2 linked regions of the Lonchura striata genome follow. The protein of the gene in region 2 interacts with the protein of the main gene of each other region in a biochemical or structural test. Links are inferred from orthologs where the notes say so. Each region holds a gene or a part of one and is shown on either strand. Other genes may lie near its edges.

Evidence for each region.
Region 1: the proteins of AKAP1 (region 2) and MYCBP form a complex in vitro, tested with the Homo sapiens proteins (2 studies listed by BioGRID). The link is inferred for Lonchura striata from reciprocal best matches to the Homo sapiens genes AKAP1 and MYCBP.

Annotation. Positions count from the first base shown.
Region 1 is NC_134628.1:5,084,699-5,093,218, forward strand, and holds the start of MYCBP (C-Myc-binding protein), read right to left. Parts: upstream 4,009-8,520; 5' UTR 3,947-4,008; coding exon 3,932-3,946; intron 3,733-3,931; coding exon 3,660-3,732; intron 1,411-3,659; coding exon 1,362-1,410; intron 657-1,361; coding exon 527-656; intron 1-526. Other genes in the region: GJA9 (gap junction alpha-9 protein), read right to left, coding at 7,532-8,520. UniProt on the Homo sapiens protein: May control the transcriptional activity of MYC. Stimulates the activation of E box-dependent transcription by MYC.
Region 2 is NC_134622.1:10,975,016-10,984,108, forward strand, and holds the start of AKAP1 (A-kinase anchor protein 1, mitochondrial), read right to left. Parts: upstream 4,238-9,093; 5' UTR 4,128-4,237; intron 3,748-4,127; exon of another isoform or gene 3,641-3,747; intron 1,183-3,640; exon of another isoform or gene 949-1,182; intron 1-948.

The sequences.
Region 1 (8,520 bases), on a different chromosome or scaffold from region 2:
TTGTTGTTTCAGATAAATACCAAGGTCACTTTAAGTAAAAAGCACAGATTATTGCTCCACACGAATCTAAGTGCCTGTGCAAGATCCTGCCATGTGTAGTCTGTGCCATGTGACAGAAAGTAAACATAATATTCCTCCTTCAATCTGCCTTTTGAAAGGCTTTATAATGGATACAATAACTTACTTGTTTTTCCAAACTGTCTTGAAAGCATGATCTACATAATATCAGACAACTTCAACACATCCACACAAGACTCAATACAACATATTGGACATGATAATACACATTCCCTAAATAAATAAAATCCCTAGTTTACCAATATTTTATGTTACATTCCATAAAATATATATGTTCCATAAAATATAATAATCTTTACTACAATGATTTCTCAGACATGAGGCTAAACAATGCAACATCATTTATCAGTTACTCTAATGAAAGGAGGTTAGCTCTATTCCAAGTAATGAAAATATTTTTCTTGTTGTATAATATGGAACTATGGAGGAACACCAAGTAGACTTTTACCTTGGTTTTCAGTTTTTTATTTTCTTCCAGCACAGCTTCATATTTTTCTTTCATCTCTGCCACTTCCAAGCGAAGTGCCTCTATTTCCGGATTCTCAGGAGCTGAAGCTCCCAGATGATGCTTCAGAAAACTGATATTTAGATGTTAAGTATTTCCTCAGTTGTATAACTACATTTTAGTTTTAACACCTGTGTTGATGTTAACACTGCAGTACACATGGTCAAAATTGCAGTAAGCCATTGTGATCACTACAGGAAAAAAGTTACCAAAATAAGAGAGCTTTTCAAATTCATAGCTATATTCCTTAAAAACAAACACACAAACACAAGATATCAGTACAAATCCTTATGTGTTACTACCTCCTTTTTTTTTCTCTTCGTAACGGCAGATGTTTTAAAGAATTAAAAAAAGTAAAGAAAAAAAGCAGCAATACCCAAAAATGGAGGCTGCTTAAAAACAGCAACAAATATGCTAGTTCCCCCCCTTCTTCATGTATTTAAAAACAAATAAAAAACAACAAAAAAAGGAAGTGTGAAGAAGCAAACTTCAGAACCCATTGCCACTGCAGGTACTCAGATCTAAAGCTGCAGGTCTACAACACTGAAATGGCCAATAACTTAGCTTCATAATTGCTGGCATACTGAAATCCCAGCCCTCTGGCATCCTGTCAGACTCTCTTAGCTTGTGAAAATGCAATCATTAGGTAAAATGCATTGAAAAAAGTCACGTTCTCAATGCAAGGCATCGAAATGAATCCATCCAGTCCACCCATGAGTCAGAAGCAATATTGTGCATAAAGTCTCAATAAATAAGTCACAGCAAAGGAAAAGGATACTCCAGTGCACTATCTGGTTTCTCTGGCTCTTCATATAAGGCTACCAACACTGCAAATAGAAAATATTCAACAATTGCAAGAAATTCATGCAACTCTAAGTTTTTTAAACACATATCAGCAGTCAGAAAGCATACATGTTGTATTTGTCCATTTAACAAGATTTTCACTTGCACACTTTGACATAGGCAACAGGTCTGCTGTATCAGAGGGGACAGAGCATTCCACCTAGTAACAGCTAAAGAGAATTTTCTTGATCCCTAACCCCACATTGTGTTCTGGCTGTTCTAGCACAGAACATAAAACATCCTGAAAAAAAATTTACATATGCCACATGCACCCTAGTACTAGCTTTTACCAGTAAGACTGAAATTCTAACTATATTGTTCATAAAACTTGTACTTAAGCTACATCTTTAAACCACAAGACATCAGCAGATTTGTAACTTCCAGCAGAAGAGCAAACCTCCATTGATAATCTACAGTTACAAAACTAAACAGCTACTACACGGCTAGGTGACACTGATAATTTTTACGGGTAGGGACTCTAATGGCCAAAACCGCCAGAGAAAAGCAGCAATACCCCGACAATTTAAATAAAAATAGCCATTTACATAGCAACATAACGGGAGACTGTCACATGAACACCCAGGAAGTTCCCAATCACAACCACTCCCTGCTTCCCCACAGGGGCCATGTGCCAGTTTCAGAAGTCTTGAGCTACACAGCCAAACTGGTTTTAAGCTAAGTACTTCCTAAGTTAAAAGCAAAATTAGTCTGCCTCACTGCTTGGAAGATTTGTTTTGCCATCCCATAGGATGGCACTGCGATTGAAAAATCAAATGGTACTCACACACCAGGCCAAGAGTCTTAGTGCAGCAGCTATTTACTTGACATCCTAGATCTGCTGCTCCCTCTTTAAACAGCATATTTTCAATATTAGCAGAATATTAATTTTTTCATTATTAACACATTTTTTGCCACATACTACTAGAAGGTTCTCAAAAAGATTTTAGGAGGATTTCAAAAATACTAAGTCACACATGTCAAGTTGAGCATCATCATTTTCTCCAGTTTGATATGGAGAGTCATTAATCCAGAACTTAGTGTCATTCATTCTAGAAAAAAAAGCACTAAGTGCTGTTATAAATGAGAATTTATTCAGCCAGATTAAAAAATAAAAATAATTTTTATTAGCGGTCAAATTCTATCTAGCCAGCCACAAGGAAAGAACAGAGCCGAGCCTGGGGTTGGCCCTGGGTGTGCCACAAGGAGTCAGCCTCAGCAGAGGTTCTCCCCTATGCCCACACACCTCCATCCTGGCACAAGCGGTTTTTTATAGGGAAAATTCTGCCTGAGGCCAAGATTTTCTTCTATTCAGAGTCCATAGGTTAATAAGATTTTCTTTTTTTGGTAATGAGGAGAAATAATTCAATGTCCGAAGTAGGTGAATCCCTGATGAGATTTTACGGGAAGGCTGCATTCACATGGATCTGTCTGAGGATTTCTATGATATCCACCTCGGGCCATTCATGCGATGATCAGCACCGATGATCAACACCTGGAGCCCAGCCATGGCCCATCTCCTGGCCGAGCCACTTGTAAATCAGTTTCCAATATACACCCAGTCTCACCTGCAAAGGGGGGGAACTAATACAACGGGCATAATCTAACAAGTATCTAATATTACATATTTCATACAAGGAATGGCGCGAATTATATTTACTACACATAACAGTGCCATCCAAGAAAAGGTATGAAACAAAGTTCTTTTAAAATAACATTTGCTGTTATTTCATCTCAAGCACTGACTTCCTCTGTAGAAAAACCTCACAAAAAGCGCCCATTGAAAGAAAATAAACGACCCAAAGGCACGCATTGAAAGTAGCACTTCGGCCGAAGGAAGAGGTCTCCAGCACACACTGGGGGAAAGGAGCAGCCTTGCCGTTCTACACGCACCTCCAGCAGCGGCCGCCCGCGCGGGGAGCGTGCGGGGCAGGGCCGGTCCCAGCGCCCGCTGCCCTCTCCCGGCGTGCGCCGCCTCGCCGCGCACCTCGGACTCCATTTCCTGGCCACGCCGCACCAAGTTCTCCAGGCGAGTTCTTCTGCCGGCCGCCTCGCCGGACTGAGGAGAAAAAGCGATCGGCGAGGCGAGGCGCGAAGCCCATGGAGAGCGGCGGGGCAGCCCGAGGGACGGCCGAGACGCTGCCGGGCGGGAGCGGGACAGCCTGAGAGGAACGAGGAACGGCACCCGCCCGCAACGCCCCGGAGCGCGCCCGCCGGCCGCGAGCCGGACACTTACCCTTGGTGAGCATGTCCAGCACTCCCGACTTCTCCAAGTACTGGCGGAACTGCTCCCGCTTGGAGTCCGCGGCCTGAGGGAGGACGCCCACACGGTCAGATCGGCGGCGCGCCCCGCCTCGACTGCGGAGGCGGCCCTTTAGCACAGGCCGGTCCCGCTCTCCGCCGCAGAGGCGGCACGAAGGGCCGAGCCGGGGTCGGCCGGCGGCCCGCCGCTCCGCGCAGCCGGCACGGAGAGCGGCACCGCGCCCACGCCGGCGCGCTCCCCCCTACCTTGTGGTGCGCCATCTGAGCCGCACGGCGCCTGCCCCGGCCGCGCGCCTGCGCCCTGCGCTTTAACGGCGCGAGCGCTTCCCCGCGGTTGCCACGGCGACGGCGCCGCGGCAGCGGCAGCGCCGGGCCCGCGCGCCGCCCGCGCTCCCCTCAGCGGGGCCGCGCTCCCCTCAGCGCCGCCCGCGCTCCCCTCAGCGGCCGCGCCGGGCCCGCGCGCCGCCCGCGCTCCCCTCAGCGGCCGCGCTCTCCTCGGCGGGGCCGCACTCCCCTCGGGGCGGCCGCGCTCCCCTCGGCGCGGTCCGCTCCCCTCGGCAGGGCCGCGCTCCCCTCAGCGCGGTCCGCTCCCCTCGGCGGGGCCGCGCTCCCCTCAGCGCCGCCCGCGCTCCCCTCGGCACCGCCCGCGCTCCCCTCAGCGGGGCCGCGCTCCCCTCAGCGCGGTCCGCTCCCCTCAGCTCGGTCCGCTCCCCTCAGCGGGGCCGCGCTCCCCTCAGCGCGGTCCGCTCCCCTCAGCGGGGCCGCGCTCCCCTCAGCGGGGCCGCGCTCCCCTCAGCGCGTTCCGCTCCCCTCGGCGCCGCCCGCGCTCCCCTCAGCGCGGTCCGCTCCCCTCGGCGGGGCCGCGCTCTCCTCGGGGCGGCCGCGCTCCCCTCGGCGCCCCCCGCGCTCCCCTCAGCGCGGTCCGCTCCCCTCGGCGCCCCCCGCGCTCCCCTCAGCGCGGTCCGCTCCCCTCGGCGCCCCCCGCGCTCCCCTCAGCGCGGTCCGCTCCCCTCAGCGCGGTCCGCTCCCCTCAGCGCCGCCCGCGCTCCCCTCAGCGGGGCCGCGCTCTCCTCGGCGGGGCCGCGCTCTCCTCGGCGGGGCCGCGCTCTCCTCGGCGGGGCCGCGCTCCCCTCAGCGGGGCCGCGCTCCCCTCAGCGCGGTCCGCTCCCCTCAGCGCGGTCCGCTCCCCCCAGCGGGGCCGCGCTCCCCTCAGCGCGGTCCGCTCCCCCCAGCGCGGTCCGCTCCCCCCAGCGGGGCCGCGCTCCCCTCAGCGCGGTCCGCTCCCCTCGGCGCGGCCTCGCCCGCCTCGGGGCGGCCTCGCCGTCCGCTGCCGCCCGAGGGGAAGCCGAGCCCGGCGTCGTGCCCCCTTTCTTGCGCGGCCCTGCCTCCTCTCCCGCTCTGCCCTGCTCCCCTGGCCGGGGACGGTTCCGGGGCTCAGCTCAGCTCCCCGCGGAGAAGGCGAGCGGGGCCGCGCCGCGGGGTCCGGGCGGAGCTGTCCTGCGGGTCGCTGGAGTTCTTTCTGGTTTTCATAGTAAGCCTTCGGGTTTGTGAAATTCAAAGTGTCTGATTAATACATTTCAGTAGCTGCAGCTGACTGAAATCACAGGAGAAAGTTGCAGCCAGCAGCGGCTGCAGAGGGTCTGTGAGGCATTGAAGAGTGGTGAAATCTTCGCGACGAAAGTCTTTTGCCCTAGCCTGTTTAAAAAAAAAAAAAAAAAGAAAAGAAACTGTTACACCTGATTATTTTTCTGAAACGCTGACAGATAAAATCTATTTATTGTAGAAATTTTTAAAAATTAAAAGAAAAAGACCAACCAAATGATCTTGCACATATGACGTTAGGGAGTTTTCATGCTTTTTTTCCATGCTCTTCCACAATGTTTGCAGTTTTCAGTGGTTACTCTTCATTTGGGAAGGTGCTGTGATTAAACAAAATGTCTGACTCATATCCAGGCATAAAAAAGTTAATAAAATTCCTCTCACTGCAGCAGAAAAATTCATTTCTAACTTGTCTTGAACAACAAAAATACAGATGTCATGTCCCATACATGAACATCTAAATGCTAACTTTCTGTTATTTAGACAGCAGGAACAGAGTGCATTAAATATGAGGCTTTTTATTATGGAGAGATTAAATGCAAAACAAGCATTAGCAGTTATTGCCCACAGGATTTTACACATCAAGAAATGCAAGAATCAAAGCCACAGCAGCAGCATGAACTTGCCTAAGTCACACTATTACAGTTATGTATGTTCCAGTATAGTATACGACCTTAAATTTTACAGTGTAAACACAATTATGTATTTATGTATACACATAGAAGTGAAAAGGAAAGAAACCTACAGCAAATAGTTTTAATAGTTCTCATGTGTATTTCTTTAATGCTGCTACAAGCAAAATAGCAGTTTAGGTTTTCTGGCTTCTTTTTTGCTAGTATTGTACAGTTTTCAGGCAATCTGAAACATGGCTGGTTGGTAAGTATAATGACAGTGCACTTTAAGAATTTCATTGTGCTGTAACATCATTATGTTATATCTCACAGATTATTTTTTTCAACAGATGAACAGTATGTCATATCTGCTAGTAAGAAATACACACAAAAAATACTAATGCATTTCAGCTGTGACCACCTCACCAAGTATTTACAGTGTTTCAGTGCTGTGCACCTCAAATAAATGTATTCCATACATGGAAAGCTTGATTACAAATGTACCATAGTATTTTGTTCATCTTTGCCCCCTTTATAATTTCAAGATGTTTCATGGAACTTCCTTTACACCATATGGACCTGAACAGCAAGTGGATAAATGTCCTAATGTTTTGTTATCCCCATTAAAAGCATAAACACAAATGCTCCTCCTAAACAGGTAGGACCTTTGTTTGATTTAAAAGCTTATCAGTATTCAGGGGAGACACAAACAGAAAATGACTAGTTTTACTCTTTGATAAACCTTTTATATGTCTTTTGACATTGTAACTCAAATCAGGAAGGTACTACCATATTTGCTTTTTTTGGTTCTCTGTTTTTGGAGTTTTTTTTCTGTTTTCCATAGTAAACCTTCTGGTTTGTGAAAATCAAAATGTCTGATTAGTAAATTTCAGTAAATTGTTTTCTGATTTTGCTATCTTATTAGTGTTATGAAAAATGTCAAAAGTAAAGCTCACAACATGTCTGGAATTCCTGATGTTTAAAAAAAATAGCGGTGTATTGAATTCTGACAGTATACTATTAGAAATTCACTTTGATTTTTCTGCTGAGGTAGTCAGTGGTGATACACTGAAAAAAAGTACCATGGAGCCAACAAATTAGTGATCTGTTTTGCAAATGCTTTTTTTCTTTGTATTTACAACAGCTTGAACTGTGGAATAAGTTTGACATTCTGCTTTTGGTCAGCTACCAAGTGTCTGTTTGAATTCTCACACTGATTAGGCAGAGACATGTTTACCAATAAATTCTTTTGAGAGTATCTTTAACCTAATTTGATTTACTGGTCTTTGTAAAAATATTGTTAGACTGTAAATTTTGTCTCCTACTTTTATTCGGTTTTAATAGTACCAGCTGTGATTTTATGCCTTTTTCCTAATATGTGGGCTGAGAGGATGTATGTTTTCCTTTTTAGCTGGAATGTAGAAGTTTATACACTGAGATCTATGCCACATTTTCATTACAAAAGAAGTAAAGAAACTGTTTAAAATTACTTAGCTACTATTCAAAGGGTTACACAGCTATGTAAACAGCTGGCTAAAGTTGAATTATTTAGCTGCACTTACACGTAGGTCTGGGTTATGTCTCTGTTCAGGAATTATCCCAGCACTGGGTAGTGCAGCTAATGGGTTAACTCACACTATATTTGAAGATCAGTGGGGGCACGCCTACTGCTGGCATTACTTGACAGTGACTGTTGCCTAGACAGAGACAAAAGCTTAGGACTATTCCAATTTCTGCTTTGTGTAGATTCTGAGCTCACCACCCCCATGGAATCAGAAGTGTCTGGTCGGCTGGAATTTTTTCCATCAGCATTGTAAGGAATTTGGGCTTTGTTTACACTGAAACTGCTCTGTCTTCTGTCCCTGTTCTTTGGAAGAGAATTTGTTAGTGCTCCTGTGTCCTCAACCATTGTCTGTCGTCTAAAACCGGCATTAGGAAAAGTTGTACCAGGTTGCAATGAAGTTTGACCTGGCAACTCAGCAAAGCTTCTCAAGTACATGTTTGAGGCAGTATCTGCATTCTGAGTATCAACAAGAAAATGTTTCTTTTCAGCCTCTTCTTGTGCATCATGTGTCTCAGTCCAAAGCTCACCAAGAAAGCCTTCGTTATTATTTGTGCTAGCATTTTGAGTCTGATTGTCTAAAGCATTTGTAGCTGGCCTCTTCTTTGGAGATTTATTTTCCTGATTGCAATGGGTGTAATTGCTGCTGCTTTCTGCACGGTTATTTTGCACAGACTGAAACATAGAAGGAGAATTTAAAACTGGGTAGAGCATAGTGTCAGTTTGCTTTTCCATCAAAAAGGTATAACTGCTAAGAGCACAAGGAAGTGTTTTCTGAGGGGTGGTGGATATTCCCAAGGAAGAGTGTGGTATCGCAGAATATTTCTTAGATTTGTTTATGTAGAAATGGTCAGAGTCATCTTTGTTTTTATTCTGCTCACAGAGTCCCATTTTAATTTTCCGGAATCCTAAGTGGATAATTTCTAGAATATTTAAAAGCAATGATACAGTTGCTATTGATTGCATAAATAATATAAACACTGTCTTTTCTGTTGGTCTAGATACAAAGCAGTCAACTGTGTTTGGACATGGGTCTCTCTGACATTTATAAAGAGGATCTAAGT
Region 2 (9,093 bases):
GGAATGAACCGTTTGTCATTAACATTAACCCTATCAGGTTATCAAGCTCTGTACTGCTCTTGATATCTTGTTACCTCCCTGCTCCAGTTGTTTCATTATTTATAGTTTTCTCACCCAAGTTAGTGTCTCCCTGTGAATCCTCTACTGCAGAGGGAGACAAGAGAGCTTTTTCTTCACTTTCTCAGAAAAGTCTTTCAGACAGTTCAGCAAGCTTCAAAAACTGCTTCTGCACCACTTTACCTGTACCCCCACAGGTTATAAAGATAACAGCTGCTTTACTGCACTATCAACACATTACAAAAGTCTGGATTTGGGAAAAGCTTTATCTTTCATTCTCTCTCTGCATTTTCACTCATGTTAGAGAACAGAACAAGTTATTTTTCAGAGTTTTGAATAAACACATCCAATAATCAGCCTTTTGTGTTTGCTTCTACATAAGGAAGCCAATGCAGCCCTTGCTATGGGTAACACAGTGTAGTGGCCGCTACATGTACAGTTTATAAGTGAAAATTTAAAAGCAGCCACCTGAGTCAGACGCCTGGCATCTCTATCAATTTCCAAAAAACAGAGACTAAACTAACGAAGGGCTTCCAATATACTCTGCACAGGAGACAAAAAACAAGCTTGAATTTTCAAGGAGACAGAATGGGGAGGTTTACAGCAAACACACTGATAGGGCTGCAGGAGCCAAGAGCAGCAAAGACCAAACAGGTCCCCAGGTATCTGGGGAGCAGCAGCAGCTCCGCTCACAGGATGTTTGCTGGGCACAGCCACGAGACCTTGACAAACAGCTTCCCAAAACAAGAGCTGGACTAGGCTTAGGAAAAGCAAAAAGCACTGGAGTCTGGTTGGAAGCCTCGTGGCCAAGGCTCAGTTTGAGGAGAAATGGCAGAAGCGCTCAGAGAGGGAGGACAGCAAACATCAGTGAGGAGGATGGCCTGTACTCACCTGTGCTGGGAGGGAACAGCAAAGGCTTCACTGGGAGCCACTCATGTGAATGAGCATGAGGACACTTGTGTGCGCCAACAAGGGCTGTGAGGAGTGGAACACACACTCCAACCTGACCAGAGAGAGTTCCCAATTCCCAGATTCATCCCCAGGCAAAGCTAAGGCCTCTGATACCAGAGGCACATGAAAATCATGAACTTTTGCCAGGAACCACTGCTATTTATACCCAGAGTCAAAAACCAGCCACAGCACATGGCAAGTTTCTCATCCTCAGTGCCAGGTGGCAGCAGAGGTCAAAAGCAACCCCGACCAGGACTGATCTGCAGCAGTGATTTGTTTGCTTAAGTATGATTTTAAATGGTCTTTTATGAAATACTCATCTCTGCTAGTAGCAATTACAGGGCCCAAAAATCCAGTTAGCTTCCAGATGACAAAATGCAGGACCAGAATCCACATAGTGGACAATAAAAAAAATGTACAGGGAACCACCTGAAGACAACATTTGAAAAAGCAGTTTGGGACATGCAAATATCTCCCCTTCTAGCAATCCCCATGAGAAACAAATGCAACAGCTTCAATTTCCAGGAAATATTAAACACCTGATGAATAAAATAGCTTTTTCTGAATATCTGAGCATGGCTGCCTGAAGTTGATCATCACTTCATGAAGTCTAACCAGCCATTTGCATTAAGAGCTCCACAGAAGCACTGCAGTTAGAAATCAGTATTCTAAAAAGGCTAATCATTAGATCTGAAACATGAAACAATTTTAAGTAATTAATGCTGCAATTAATGTTTTTTATTAGCTCTAGATGTTGCTAGGGGAAACTGGGATACCAGCCCCAATCCTATTACAGGCTCCCTGGACGCTAGAAATACCTTAAATCATTTTTTCACATGAGTTAAGTGCACATGAACAAGGAGAGGCACAGATAAGTGGGCTATGTTGCTTTAAAAGCATTATGCTCTTCAGATAACTGCTCCTGCAGAAGTGCACTTGCTCTCCATCCCCCTGCAGCCAGCCTGCAATGTTTTCAAAGTGAAGAGAGAGTCTCAGCCATCACAAATCAAACTGCTGCTGGCTCTGAGAGCTTTGGCTGCACTCCTGCAGCAAACTCCCTTCACTTTTAACTCCACAGGCAATCTGCACCTCTGGGAACAGACAAAATGTGGTGGATCTGAGCTGCAGGTCCTGTCACCTCATGTCCTGGGCAGTGAGGAAATTCCTCTTCCCTCATTTCAGGCGTTGTGAAGTGTCTAGGTTAAAGCCAAGGCTTCCTAGGCAGTCCATAATTTCCAGTATTAGTATCTCAAAGCATCTCCAGCATTCAAGACAGAATCTGGTTCCTAGGATGGGTTTCTAAACCAAGGCTGAATAAGGAGAGCACTCCCAAGTACAGAACAGCTACTAACACACAACAACTGAGATCCTGCAGCGCCATCCACACAGACCCTGCAGCCCCAACATATCTTTAGCTTCATGTCTGAGAGCAAACAGCCTGTTGGAGAAAACACTGCTACAACTGTGCTGAAAAACTCTCCTGTGTACACCCCCATAAGAGCTTTTAAAAGTCCTTCAAGAGCTCAATGAGACACTTAAGCAGGAGCTGAAGGACTGTCAGGTGAGCAAGACCAGGACTGGAATCAATGCATGAATGGATTCCAGTGGATTCCATCCTACTTCAAGCACTGCTCAAGCTCCACAGGCTTCTCCCTCCTCACACTTGAGAGCTGTCATTTCCTCCAGTGCATTTGCACTGTGCAGCACATACAGGCACACCAGGGAATGGAGAATGAGATACACACAACGAGGCTGTGCTGCCCTTTTCCAGAATCTCAGGTCCATGGGCATCACTAGACAGGTACAGCAGGTCAGCAGGTGCCTGCAGTCCTTCACCCCTTACACAAGCAGCCCATTAACGAATGAGGAGGTTAAATGACCAGAACTGGGTCACGGTGATCGCAGCAGAGGAGCCAGCTCAGTTCAGTGCTCCCGGAGAGCTCCGGTGCACTCCCGGAGAGCTCCGGTGCCCGGGAGCCGCGCTGCGCTCCCGGAGAGCTCCGGTGCACTCCCACACCGCACGTGTGGGAGCTCCGCTCGCTCCGGGGCTGTGCTCGGTAGATCATTCACAGCCACCAGCAAAGCTACCCCAGCGCTACACCTTCGGCAGCAACCAGCACTTCCCTGCACCTGAGACAAAGTCCACAGGGCCCGATAACGCTCGGCAGGTGCAGCACAACCCTGAAACACAGGAAGGCCCGATTTCTGCCATCCCACAGCCCCTGACTTTTCCCAACAGATGGGCTGTAGCCAAAGGCAGCTTTTGGTGCCATTTCCTGCTATTATGGATAACATCCATGAAGAGGATGCCTTTGCTGAGATGCCTGTCCATTCTGTGGTCATTGCCTCATGGAATTACTGGACTGCAGTAAAGAACTCGGCCAGGCACAGATCAAGTTGCCCATTTCTGAAGTAGGAGTAACTTAGATCTGCCTTGCTTCAATCAGGAGGAAAAGAAAGAGAGAGCAAACAACAATATTCTCCCAGGAAAGCAAGACCACGACATCACTTCCTCAGCAGCAATATAATTTAATTCCATTGCTCCCACCTGTACTCCCTGCTGGCTTAGGAACAAAAGGAGTCACTACAGCACATCAGAAGTTTTGCAAATAACACTTTTTACGGCCATTACCATAACACAGGCAGGCTCGCCAGACCAGACAGCCCAAGGTGCTTTAATCTTCACCGCGGCTCCGCGCCGCCCGGGCCATCTCCGGCCTCGCTCCAGCAGCCGCGGCCGCAGCGCTCTCGTCAGAACGGGCGAACCGACCCGGCCCGGCCGCTGCCGCCCGGGACACCGCGGGCGGAGCACCGGGCGGAGCACCGGGCGGAGCACCGAGCGGAGCACCGAGCCGAGCACCGAGCCGCGAGCAGGGCCCGGGGCAGCCCCGCGCCCCGACACAGGCGGCCGGCCCCAGCCCACGGCCCCGGGTCCCGGCGGGGAAGAGCGCTGACCTTGGGCGGCGCGGGAGCGCTCCCGCCACGGCCCGCGCGGCGGGACCGGGACCGGGCCCGGCACGGCCGGCAGCGCCCTCCGCGCGCCCCGCGGCGCCGCCGCTGACAGCCGCGGGCCGCGCCGCTCCGCCAGCGCGCGGGCGGCGGCCCAGGGCGGTACTTACGGGAGTCCCGGCGCGGCGGCGCAGCCCGGAGCGGTGCCGGGCCCGGTCCGGAGCGGTGCCGGTGCCGCCACACGTGCCCCGGCCGGGCCGCCCGGCTCGGACATGCAGCGACAGCGCCCCGCCCCGCCCGGCCCCTCTCGCGAGAGCGCGCGGCCCCGCGAGACTGCGCGCGCGCGGCCCCGCCCCGCGCCTGAGGGAGCCGCGGCGGCGCCGGGAGCGCGCCGGGCGGGATCCATCGTTCTGGGGCCGGGATCGATCGTTCTAGGGCCGGGAGCGCTCCGGGGCCGGGATCCATCGTTCTGGGGCCGGGATCCATCATTCTGGGGCCGGGATCCATCGTTCTGGGGCCGGGATCCATCGTTCTAGGGCCGGGATCCATCGTTCTGGGGCCGCGATCCATCGTTCTGGGGCCGGGAGCGCTCCGGGGCCGGGATCCATCGTTCTGGGGCCGGGAGCGCTCCGGGCCGGGATTCATCGTTCTGGGGCCGGGATCCATCATTCTGGGGCCGGGATCCATCGTTCTGGGGCCGGGAGCGCGCCGGGCCGGGATCCATCGTTCTGGGGCCGGGATGGATCGTTCTAGGGCCGGGATGGATCGTTCTAGGGCCGGGATCCATCGTTCTGGGGCCGGGAGCGCTCCGGGGCCGGTGCGGGGCGGGCCCGGCCCGGCCCGGATCGTTCCCGCGGCCGAGGCCCGGGCAGGGTCCGCCCTTGCCGCCTTCCTGCCCTGCTCCCCCTCCGGACGGGTGCGCACAGGCCCTGTGTGCTGCCGTGTCCTCATCCCAGGCTCGCCCGGCCGCTGCCCCGATGGTTGTTCCCGCGGTCCCCGGAGCCCCGCTCCCTGCCTGGCCCCGGGGGTCCTGCCGGGTGCCCCGGTCGGGCCTTGGCACCTCCACAAGTGGCTGGGAATGGCTCCTGTCGCTGCTGCTGGAGGCCGCTGCAGCGCCTCCGCCTGCCCGGCTCTGTTCGGCCGGGGCCTTCGGGCTCGGCCCCGATCCACCGCGCCTCATTGCCTGCTAACAGCCAGACACGCAAGCAGGTGAATCTGAGCTTTAGACAGTTTTATGCAAAGGTTTGGCTGGTGGTGACACATTAGTGAGCAAATATTAGCTAGAAGCTACAGCAATGTATTGGAACTGCAATGAGAAATGCAAATCTGTGTTCAGGCGGAGTTATTGCTCAGCTGCAGCAGCACCAAGTAGGAATTAATAGAGACTTTTCATGTTATTGTGTAAGACTTGTGACATTTCCCCCCAGGGCTTTTGGCATCTTTGCACAGGATCCAGTGTGTAACTGATTTCTCTGTCCCAAGGAAGCTCTGAGGTTTTTGCGGGATGCACAGTAGAGAAGCATGGCTGGTCAGTGCTAGCACTGCCACGCTCAGTGGGCTGTGTGACAGCTGATTCCAGGACAGCTCTGGGCAAGGCACTTGGAGGAGACTGGGAAATCATCGATGCTCTTCTAAGGTGGTTGGGAGTTTCCAGAGGAGGGTGGTGAGAGAGGGAAAGGTCTCAGGGCAGGAGCAACGCAAGTAGCAGCCAGGTCTTGGGAAGAGTCTGTGCTGACCTTTGTGGGGCATCACTGGAAATTCTGTGTTCCTGTGACACCCGGAGGGGTTTGGCATCCACCCTGGGTCTACGTGGGAAGAGTTGTTTGGGAATGATGTGTCCTCTCCAAATAATCCAGCAGGGTTGTGTGGGAGCACACGGAGTGGCAGCAGCCAGGTGTGGGTGCTGCTCCTTCCCGTGCAGCCAGGTGGGTCAGAAGGCACAGGATACTGTGCTGCTTCAGGGCTTCTGAGGAGACTGCTGCGTTTGTCACTGGTCCTGTTTGTGTGGGGACAAGTGGCTCAGGATTTCCCAGTGGAACAACTTCAGCTGCTTTTTCATCTTTTAGAACTTCAGCAGCAAAGTCAGAGGGAAGCAGTAGGCCAGGGAGCGGTGGTTCATGCTTTGGGGCAGGAACAGGGAGCAGCCAAGCTAGAGTGAGTTTTAAACCAGAGCAGTTCCTGGGGGTAGCCAGCGGTAGCTGCAGCAGTGCAGGAAAGCACTTCAAGCCTCCCAGCTTGAAAGCCTGAGCTTCCCGTTCATCTGGCAGCCACCCCCAGTCAGCCTCCTCCCTTTGCAGCACCCTGGGCTCATCCTGCAGAGCCGCTGCTGTTCCCAGAGCTCACCTGGCTTCGAGCAGCACGCTGTGCACCAGCCAAGGCTGCACAAACCTGCAGGCACGGGGGAGTTCAATGCTGTGCTGACCAGGCTGGCTGAAGTCAAACCTGCCCGTTGCTGCAGACACGTGCCTGCAGCAGGCGGTTGGTTTGTGAGAGTGTAAATGAGTAACTTGGAGAAACCACAGTCATGAGCAGGATTGTCCTTCCTAAATCACTGATTTCTGTAAGTATTTTTCTGTGAAAAGTTCCTGATTTGCCTCTACCTTTTTGTTCAGAGCAGTCAGAAATTAATACTAAATACCCACTTAAAAACTACAAATTGTGTCACACATGAAGTGGAAAAATCCATTGGTGTTGAGACTTTGCCCTTTTGATGTTCCTAATCTGAGGATCTCAGAAGTTTGTCCGTTAAGAATTCCCAACCGACGGCCACCCTTGGCTGTTAGCATTGGGCAATTCCAGCGTTTACAGTGCCTGGTGGTCAAATGTTCAGGGATTTGTCAAGGTCACAATCAGAGCTGGTATCAGACACACATGGGGACCACATGCTGAAACCTCTTGTGGTTTCGTTCCCCGTGTCCTCACAGCCTGAGGAGGAGGAGGAGGAGGAGGGCTGCATGAGCAGCTCTTCAGCATTTGCACTGTCTTGCTGCACAGCCAGCTCTCCTGGGCAGACCTTGCTCTCCCAGTAACTAACTGGGGGTGGAAGCAGCAGAACAGATATTTCCAGTTTGTCTGAAGGACAATATGCTGTGAGGAAAAAAAAAAAAAACCACTATTTAATACTTCAAGGGGGATATTCTTGAGCATATAGTTACTCCCGGCTATTTATAGCAATGTTATTTAAACATCCCAAAAGATCCCATTGTCAGAGGTTTTTTTCATGATTGCTTTGAAGAATAAACCCATACTTATTTGAACAAGTCACATCATGAGAGTTGTTTTTGTACCCTTTCCACCCACACAATCCTGGGAGTGATTTTCATTTGAGAGCTTGTTAACCAGAGGAGCAGCCAGCTGAAGAGCCCCTGTTGCAAGGCACAAAGGATTCACACCTGAACATCCTAACTCGGGTAGTGGGACAGGCACTCCTGCTCTGAGGGGACCCAGCGCTGCACAGCTGCAGGAGGTTGGCTTTGGCAGTTCTGTGACACAGGTGGCTCATCCTCACCTTAGAGCTGAGTTCAGGTGTTCTGTCTCCTGTCCTTAGAGGGCTTAAGGAGAGGACAGACACGTAAAACACATTTGGTAATGGCATAAGTGACCAAGTGCTATGAGAGGACCTAAGGGAACGGGTATCTCACCTGGGACAGTGCTTGGGGCACCTTCACCAACAGCTCTGAGCCATCCTGGGCTCAGCCATGAAGTATTTTCTTTTCCACCTTGTGCAGTTTTTAGCTCCAGAACAGAATTAATTCCCCAAGTTAAAGTAAGTTCTGCATTTTTACTTCATTTTCCTTTGTAAAATATTTCAGCATCAGCTGGGCAGGAATTTTGAAGCTATTTCCTTAGACAGAATTGCCTGCTTCAACAGTGCAATTTTCCCCCTAAACACAGTTTTTCCAACTGCATCCGTAACTAAAATAAAACTCTCATTCCTTCCCTGTGGCTGCAGTGTATTTGTGATCTCAAGTAGCAGGGAGGCTCCACTGTTCAAAAGAGGAACTTCAGGAATGTTTTTGACAGCAGTGATTGAGCAGGTGCTGCTCAGGAGCTGGCTCCTGCCTGGATCCCACTCCAGCTCCAACTCAGAACTAAGGAACATTTCCTCTGAAGTAAAGAAAATGAAGTTTAACAGTTCACACACTGCTGCTCTTCCACTCGTGCAGCCCCAGCTGGCACCAAGAGCACAACAGGAATCACCTGTCCAGGTGTCTGCAGGTCTGTTCAGCATGCAGGAACAATAAGATGTCTCAGAAGTCGTCAATGCAGTCACACTTTAATGTGTCTTTACATCCTTTTACGATTCACAGAGTCAGAATATAAGTACTTATACACTTTTAATGGGGAAGTAATGTATCCCCCTAAAAGAAAAATAGATGTGATTAATCATTTGTCAGAGAAGTTGCCTGACAGCTGAAACCTCAAGCTTCTAGGCAAAAAAAGCTCAAATAGACAATTTATACTGAATTGTTCTTTAAAGACCAAGCAGCTGTTTTATTACAATATTAAATTTACATTTTAAAAAGAAATATTCTGATTTATTATTCAGTTATGATAATCCTATTGAAGTGACATGAAATTCATGACAATGGGCTTTCTTCTTCCTCACTCACCGCAGGCAATCTCAGCTCTATGCAGGATCCCACACCCAGAGCAGCACCAGTCTGGGAAGATAAACCCCAGACACTGGATTTTAACTGGAATCTTAATTTTCCCCAGAAAAAGTGGGGTGTTGGGCTCTGTAACTCGGCTGGATCCCTTGGTTCAGCCCCAAAGAACCCACCCAAACTTGTTCCAACAGAGAGAAGACATCAGCATCCACCACCTTCACCCTGCAGCCCCCGGAATGACCTTCGAACAACAGGGAGCAGGTTCAATTTACATTTTACTTCAAAAAAAAGGGGGAAGTACATACATGAGGGGAGAATGGGGTGAACAATAATCTGAAACCAGGTTTCCACCACTCTGACCCACAGCTCCCACCGGCCTGTGGCTGGGGCCAGCGGGCTCTCCAGGCTCACACCCTGTGTTTGACAGCACGACCAGGACCGGGATCACAGAAACCCTGGGAAAGCCAAGGCCGGATGGAAGCAGTGAGATCACACACAGGGTGAGTGTGTCGGACACAGCTTCTGC